2 linked regions of the Cricetulus griseus genome follow. The protein of the gene in region 1 interacts with the protein of each later gene in a pairwise test. Links are inferred from orthologs where the notes say so. Each region holds a gene or a part of one and is shown on either strand. Other genes may lie near its edges.

What was found. The genes of interacting proteins can lie anywhere in the genome.
Region 2: the proteins of Dcx (region 1) and Zbtb5 interact in binary tests that used the Homo sapiens proteins (3 or more experiments, as listed by UniProt). The two-hybrid records come from large-scale screens. The link is inferred for Cricetulus griseus from reciprocal best matches to the Homo sapiens genes DCX and ZBTB5.

Annotation. Positions count from the first base shown.
Region 1 is NC_048604.1:36,707,727-36,711,678, forward strand, and holds the start of Dcx (neuronal migration protein doublecortin), read left to right. Parts: upstream 1-1,152; coding exon 1,153-1,516; intron 1,517-3,952. UniProt on the Homo sapiens protein: Microtubule-associated protein required for initial steps of neuronal dispersion and cortex lamination during cerebral cortex development. May act by competing with the putative neuronal protein kinase DCLK1 in binding to a target protein.
Region 2 is NC_048595.1:98,439,814-98,443,805, forward strand, and holds the start of Zbtb5 (zinc finger and BTB domain-containing protein 5), read left to right. Parts: upstream 1-1,184; 5' UTR 1,185-1,289; intron 1,290-1,359; exon of another isoform or gene 1,360-1,856; 5' UTR 1,857-2,435; intron 2,436-3,992. UniProt on the Homo sapiens protein: May be involved in transcriptional regulation.

The DNA of each region.
Region 1 (3,952 bases):
TTTGGTGCTTTTTTCTACTGGGGAGGGGTTCAGCCATGTGTGTGTGGGGGGGAGATCAAAGCATGACAGATGACCATTTTTTGCCTCCATCAATGTACCTAGGCAATAGACAAGTTTGAAGTGAATTGCCTGCTGCGAGGGCAAAATGTTCCTCCAGTCAGGGGAAGAAATGAGAACAATGAAAGGTGTACTCGCTTGTAAAGGTCCCATATGCTATTCAAGGACTCATTTGGGAATCTTTCCACAATGAAATTATTCCATTAAAAGGTGTCGCTGCATTTGCCAGGAGAGGATGAAACACCTGAAAAGACAAAAAGGATTCTGTGACCAGATAGAAACAAGAGGAAAGCAGAGCTAATAGCTTGTTAAATACTGGTTTTTCAACATCCTCCTCCGCCTTTTCAAACCCCAGCTTATTTCTTATGAATGCTGTATAGCGGCACCAGCTTGATGGGAGAGGGTTTGATGAATAGCACAAAGACACTGGGTTTTCCCTGGAGGCTGTCCCTTTAAAAGAGACTCCTAGTTCATTCTGGGGGAGGGGATACACATATTAGAGTAGGAAAAAAAGATTTGGAATAAAATTAAAATATCCTTCTTCCTAGTCATTGTATTGTGATGCAAAGACTGCTTCCTAAGCTGGAGATGCTAACCTTGGCTAGTTCCCTGTTTCTCTTCAAGGGGAATTTTGTCAGGCTAGGGATTTATTTACAACTGTTAGTCATGTGGCCATGTGTGAAGTAGCAGATGCCAGTTTTAATGTATTTTGCCCCAAGTTACAATTTGATAGGAGCCACTGTCAGTAAGTTCCAGGGTTTTAAGCTATTTCAACACCTCCTCCCAAATTTGGAACAGTGCCAAAAGTGCCACCCTTTCTATCTCTTGCTCCTGTCCCCCTCCCCAGCATCCAGTCCAACTGCCCAGCCCCCTCCTCCTTTTCTATTAAGATCAATATTCCTGCAGGTCAGGGACAAGCAGCAGATGGGTCACGGGCTTTTTTCAACCAGTTCTTTTCACAGGCAGCAGATTGCAGCTCTGGATCTGGCTAATATTTGAATTCCTTTTTTTTTTCTCTTACCCTTCCTTATTCTTTGCCTCTCCTTATCCCCACCCCTTTCTCTAACAATCAGGTTGCTGTGATTCCAATAAAATATGGAACTTGATTTTGGACATTTTGATGAAAGAGATAAGGCATCCAGGAATATGAGAGGAACACGGATGAATGGTCTTCCAAGTCCTACTCATAGTGCCCACTGTAGCTTCTACAGAACCAGAACCCTGCAGGCACTAAGTAACGAGAAGAAGGCCAAGAAGGTACGTTTCTATCGCAATGGGGATCGATACTTCAAGGGAATTGTGTACGCTGTTTCTTCTGACCGTTTCCGTAGTTTTGACGCTTTGCTGGCTGACCTGACTCGATCCTTGTCGGACAACATCAATCTGCCTCAGGGAGTGCGCTATATTTACACCATCGATGGATCCAAGAAAATCGGAAGCATGGATGAACTGGAAGAAGGTAATTTAAGTAGTGGGTGGCGGCCCCTGGAGGGAAAGGATGTTCTTGTTTATGATTGCATTTTTAGTCTTCTTTGAAAGAAACTAGGCTATTTGTCTGACAAAACATTAGGTTGACTGATGCTCAGGCTTCTGATTACAAAGTCACCAACAGGGACCATTAGCTGTCGCTCTTCATGGGGTTCCATCTCTGCTGAGGTTGAAATTTACATGGGTTTGCTAATGCTAGATATGCTTATCTGCCTGGTTATACAAAGGAAAATCTGAATTGTGACATTCAATCTAGGTCTTGTTCCTAATTAACTCTGTGTGGCAGCATCAAAGCAAGCCATGAAATCATTAGGGGAAGGAAGAATGGTTGGCTTAGCAGATAAAACAATTGTGCCCATATTTCCTATGAACTGCTAAGAAGTTGCTTGGGAATTGGTGCTCTTTAGAAATACATGCCCCAATGCAGGACTTCCTGGATATGTTCGCAGAGGATTAGACTTTTAGGTAAGTGGTGGCTGCTCAGCTGTTGCTTCTAAAAAGCTCACTTCAGGGTGTGTCTGACAGGCTGAGATCATTGGGAGAAATTCGGAAGAAAGCTGTAGGTATGTCTGGTATTTTAATGAACACCATTTCTATTAGAATAGGAATGAGTCACTCTACCTAAATCCTTTCAGATCCTCTCTATAGTTTGGAATTGCAACTGAATATTATGAGTTGGCAGCTGAAAACCTTGACAACCTGTGGACCCACGTGATAATAGAGAAAAATCCATTTTCTTTTTTTTGTATATTTAGAAAATCTCGTGTCATATTGTTAACATTTTATATTGCCATATAAATTATTGTAATCAATTTAACCCATAGCTACTTTAAAAGGATAGCCTCAAGGAATAGAGACAATGAAAATGTTCTTCCAGTCTTTCCTACATTATTCAGCTCTCCCTCCCTCCCCCAATGCCCCCAATCTCTGAGCAGAGGTGAGTCAGTGCAAACAGATCTCTAGGGAATCTAGATTATAAATAACCAACAAGGAAAGAGAAACAGTGCATTTGGTGACTTCGTAGGAGTACCCCAGCTCTGCTTCACTGTGTCGAGGTTTCCTGTGTTCCTAGACAAAGGGACATGAAGGTTTCCCTTATTTCCCTATTTCCTTCATGTAGTTGTGGTTCAAAGTAGTAATGTAAAGTGATTTGGGCATAGTGGTTCCAGCTGAATCTTAATGATTCAAATCTAAGAGTTTTCTACATAGCTGACCTTGAAAATCCACTCGGAGGGGGATGATTCCATCATATACAGAGAGGATAGGCAAACACTGATACTAGACTTTCATGATCATCAAAGGGTTAATTGTTCTAGTGCATATCTGAAAATAAAAGGAGGCCAGTTGGGGTCAATTCCAAATCTGCATGCTCTGTCGAGGGAGCTGTCCAACAATCAATAAGGTGTGTGTCTTCAGTTGCTGTGAAATCTATATCTCAGTCAAAGTTGAGGGATTTCTCTGTAATACCTTTTACAAACAAAGCACACTGATTCTCCCAGTTTGTCTTAATATCCACTATCTATGAACACTCAAAGTCCATAATACACACTAGGTCAGAATCTGAACTAGAGATAGTATTCTGAGTAAGAGTGAAAATGTTATATTTAATATCAGTGTTTTGCACAGATTTCCCTCAATCAATGTTTTACAAATTTGCCCCCACCCGTGTGTGTGTGTGTGTGTGTGTGTGTGTGTGTGTGTGTGTGTGTGCACTGAGAAAAAGTTTATGATAAACCATATCAATCTAGTCTGTGCAGGTGATCAGTATGATTTTTCAAAACAGACCACAGCTTTATTCCCACCTGTGTTCTCCTGGTTCCTGCTAAACTGGGCCCAAATACCACTTCTGGGTGCAGTGGCATTTCCTGATGTTTCCAAACAGTATAGAATCTGATCTGGATAGGGATCAATTAAAGTTTCTCATCTTGTCTTCTTACAAGCCCCAAGCAACAGTGCCAACGCTTTTTCAGTCATATGTTGAGAAAAATCCAGCGCTATTTCTGGGGGAGTATTGATAATGTGATAATTTTTCCAACTAACATATAGATAAGTGGAAGTGCAACTGGCATGAGGAAGATCCGGAAAGGGCTTTCTTTGCTCTTCATTTTGTCAGAGTTTCTTATCTAGAGTAAAAGGTCAGAAATCCCTTTATTTTGTTTACTTCTAGAAGAACGTGGATAGAAGAGCAAAAATTATTAATGTACACTGTTTCCAGTTAAGATTTAAACTGAGGATGTTGGAAAGATTCCTCGTGAAGAATAAGGAATTTTGGGTTCTCATCTTGGAGCAGATTAAATGGAAAATGAAATATTGGGAATGAGATTTGTTTCAAATTCAGATCAGTTAGCTTCTAGCCTGTAGAAACTTGAGGAAATCAGTTTTTTAGATCTATACAATGAAAGCAATT
Region 2 (3,992 bases), on another chromosome or scaffold:
TGGGGTGGCCGGTGGCCGCCGAGCCTTCCCCTTCCCCACCAGGTCCTGTAGACTCTTTTGCATCATTGCTAAGAGGGTTGAGCCCTGCAGTTCTAAGGCGGTGGCGACTGTAAACTTGGTTCTGGAGCCAACACGGTGATGGGCAAGAGTTGGACTTGGAGTTGGGACCCGCCCGTGGCTATGTCTGGACAACCGGGCAACCCAGGTGAGACGACCACTAGGCCGCATTTCCTTCTCATTGTGAAGCTTGCATTTGGGTTCCATTCGATTCAAACGGCTTTGTTTGTATTCTGACAAAGTTTGTCTGCAGATCAGAGGGCAGAGGTAGCCACTAGTTATCTGTAGAGACCAGGCAGGCAGTGGTGCCACACACTTTTAATCCCGGCACTAGGGAGGTGGAGACAGGATTCACCCTGCCCAATTAGGTCTGAGGATTCCTAGAGGAAAGAAGTGACTATGGCTGCTGCTTTGCTTCTCTGATCTTTCAGCGTTTCCTCCATATCTGACCCCGGGTTTTTATTGTTAAGACTAATTAGGATCGCGCTTCAGCTTCTTGGGATTTCGTTTTTCTCTTTCCCCAAATCTACAAGTTGGGAACTACCTCCAGGGCGATGCTTGAGGGAGCCTCAGTGGGGATCAACGTCAGACACCCTGGTCCCGCAGGGTGGGAAAGCTGTCAGCACCAGCCAATGGAGGGGCACAGGGCCGGCAGTCTTCGTTGTGATTGGCTCAACTAGACGGAAAACCCTAGCTTTGCCATCCATGGTGGATTTTGATTGGGTGTGACACAAAGTCGCTTCGCTACAGCTCAAACCTGGTGTTGCTTAGTGATAGATCCCGCCTTCGAGGGCCTTTGAGAACGACTTTACATGCTGTAAAGCAAACTGCGATTGGTCAGAGCGCTCACGGATGCTTTGGTAGTAAACACAGCCCCGTTCCTGGGACCGCGGATTGGTCAGGTTTTTCAGACGCCACTCCTTGCCGTGGCACCGCCCTCCCTCCTGCTGATTGGCCATGGGCGGTTTATGAGGGCGGGGATATGTACCACCTCACATCCGTTTACTGTTGGCCGCCGCCGGGTTCGCAAAGAACCGCGCGAACCGGCAGAAGGAGCCGGGAGAGAGAGGCGGGGCGGGCTCGGGGCAGGCTCGGGGGCGGGGGCGGGGCGGGCGGAAGTCCCAGCCGGGAAGCCAGTCTGGACCTTCCCGCCTCCTTCCACGGGGTCGGTCCGAGCGGAGGAGGGTCACCGCCTCCTCCTGCGCGGAGAAGGGGGGCGGAGCCCGACTCAGGTGAGGCGACCCTATCAGCTGGAGTGGCCTTGGCTCGCGCGCGCGCGCGCGCTCACGCGCAGGCGGTTGAGCGCCGGGAGCGCGCCGAGGCTAGGGGAGCGCGCAGACACGTCCCGGTGCCGCTGGTCCACCCTGTCTTGCTGCTGAGGGGTATTGTTACCCTTCGCCTCGGTGGGGCCAGGCGGGTGGGAGCGGGGTTCTTGTGCGCAGGCGTCCCCCGTGTCCCGACGCCCGGCTGTCTGCGCGGGGTGGGGCAGGGGCTGGTGCCCTGCGCATCTCCCACCGGAGATGGAGCCTCCGGGATGCTGTGGGAACGGGCTCCCGATCTGCATCCTGGCGGGATGAGCCGAGCAGCGGCTGCCCGGTGGGATGGAGGCGAGTGGCTCTCCTACCCCTGTCCTGGGTCCTTGTGAACGATGAGGTTTCGTTTCATCAGAGCAAGGCCACAAGCGGTCTGGATTCGGGAGCCAGCGGCCGACTACAGGGGTGGAGCCATCATTAGGGAATGCCCCAACTTGTTAGACAAAAGTGTTTAGTAGGCATTTATTGAATGCCCACTTCTTACAGGCTTCGTGCGAGCAGCTGTGGGATGCGGTGGTAAGAGACAGCCGTCCCATCTTCTCCCCCTGGGGACCGACTGCTTTGCATGTAAACAACAGGAGGAATAAGGCAGTGGGCTAATTAGGGGGCTTGGAGGTTAGGGTTTTTGTTTTGTTATTCTAAAGTGCCACTCACTACGGTCAGTCTCTGTCCTAGCATAGTGGAGGGTACTGTAGGAGCCACATTTTGGTTATTTAAGTCAATAAAACAAACTCATCACTTTCAAAGCTTGAAACAAAAACATTAACAAAATGTGTTGATGTTAAGTCTTTGTATGAGGTGCTGTGCTTTACATGATTTTGAAGGTGGACCGGGCACTTCATTGTTTTACTAGAGATTTTGTTTTCATTTGCCAAAAAAGTCTTGCGGTTGGCAGTAAGCTAAAGTTGTGTCGAGGGGAGAGTACAGATGGGCCAAGGAGAGAGTTTAGAGAAAACTCCCTAAGCTAAAAGAAGGCCTTCCACTGATCGCCTTAACCCTTCTGGAAATCTCAGCAAGCTTGGGAAGACAGACCTGGCCACTGCCACAGACTTGGTGACCTGCCAGGTAAAGTTAAAATTAAGGACTCATTCTGGGCTCTTGGGTTTTGCTAAATAAATGAATCAAGACTTTTTGAATAGTTTGTTTTCAGGAGAATTGATTCTTTTTTTTTTTCTCTAAAAGTTGTGTGGAAACAAAACTTTGTGTCTGTTGGGAATTTAGCCACTTTTATTCTGGGTAAATGAATGTGTCTCCAGCAGAATTTTGCCGAATCGATGAGCAGAGAGATTTTGGGGGAAAGTATTTTGTAGATGGGTATTTTCCTAATTTTAGGAGTCAGTGTGTTCAGAAGGGGCTGCTCAAGACTATCCAAGTGGAAGGATTAAAATAATTGGACAGTAAAATGCATCTATTTTAGTATTTGAAGCTCTTAGCATTAATTCTGTTAGACACCTAACAATACCCTGTGTTCAGTGAGAGTGACAGAAGGTCTGGTGCTGACAGAGCCTTGAGTCTGCCTCCAGTTTTCTTAAGGAAGGGGGAAAAGAATCCAAAATACAGATTCCATGTCAACTTTCAACTCAACTAATTTTTCAAAATGTAAATTACCTATAAGTACGTCTTACCACTGTGATTTTGAGCACATGACTGTGCACTTGCCCTTTTTTAAGTAGGGATGTTGTCTGCTGGAGGCTGTGTTCCTCAGTGTAGCAGGTGAGATGGAACGTAACACTACATGGCACCTTTTGTCTGGCACAAGACCAGATGTTTCCAAGAAAACCCCTGCTCTTCACAGTTTCCTGGGAGTGCCTTTGATTTCATTTATTATCATTCTGTTTTCTAGAAAATTTTTATTGTGGGAACTGGAAGGATGGCTGAGCAGCTAATAGCATCTCCTGCTCTTCCTGATGCCCAGGGTTGAGCTCCGCACCCACTGTTGGTTCACATTTGTCTGTAACTGCAGTCCCAAGGGATCCAGTGCCTTTGCCTGGCCTCATACACATGGTGCACAGACATACTTGCAGGAAAAACACCCATATGTGTAAAATAAAAATAAGGAAAACCTTTCAAATCCTTTTGTTATTGGCCTGAACAGATTAGAAAGTATGTTGGAGCACTAACTTGATTGTAACACAGAAGAGATGGTAGGTTCTTAGTGTTTAAGCTTATTTTAGCTATAGATAATTTTCCTTTTGAATATGTTATGGTTCCAGTAGTTCCTTAATTCGATTCTAAAACTATCTTTTAAAAAGAATAATTTATTTTTACTTTATGTGCACTGGTGTTTTGTCTACGTGTATGTCTGTGTGAAGGTGTCAGTTCCCCTGAAATTGGAGTTACAGGCAGTTTTGAGCTGCCATGTGGGTGCTAGGAACTGCACCTGGGTCCTCTGGGAGAGCAGCCAATGCTCTTAACAGCTGAGCCATCTTTCCAGCCCTAAAACTTGTTTTATTACATTTTACTTTCTTTGAAGATAGGATGGCATAAGTAAGCTTAACTGATAATGTTTATTCAGATATGTATGGTAGCTTACACCTTCAATTCCAGCAGTCTGGACACTGGGGCAGGAGACCCTGCCCCAAAGAAAAAAAATTGACAACTTTCTTCTTTTCTTGTGTTACA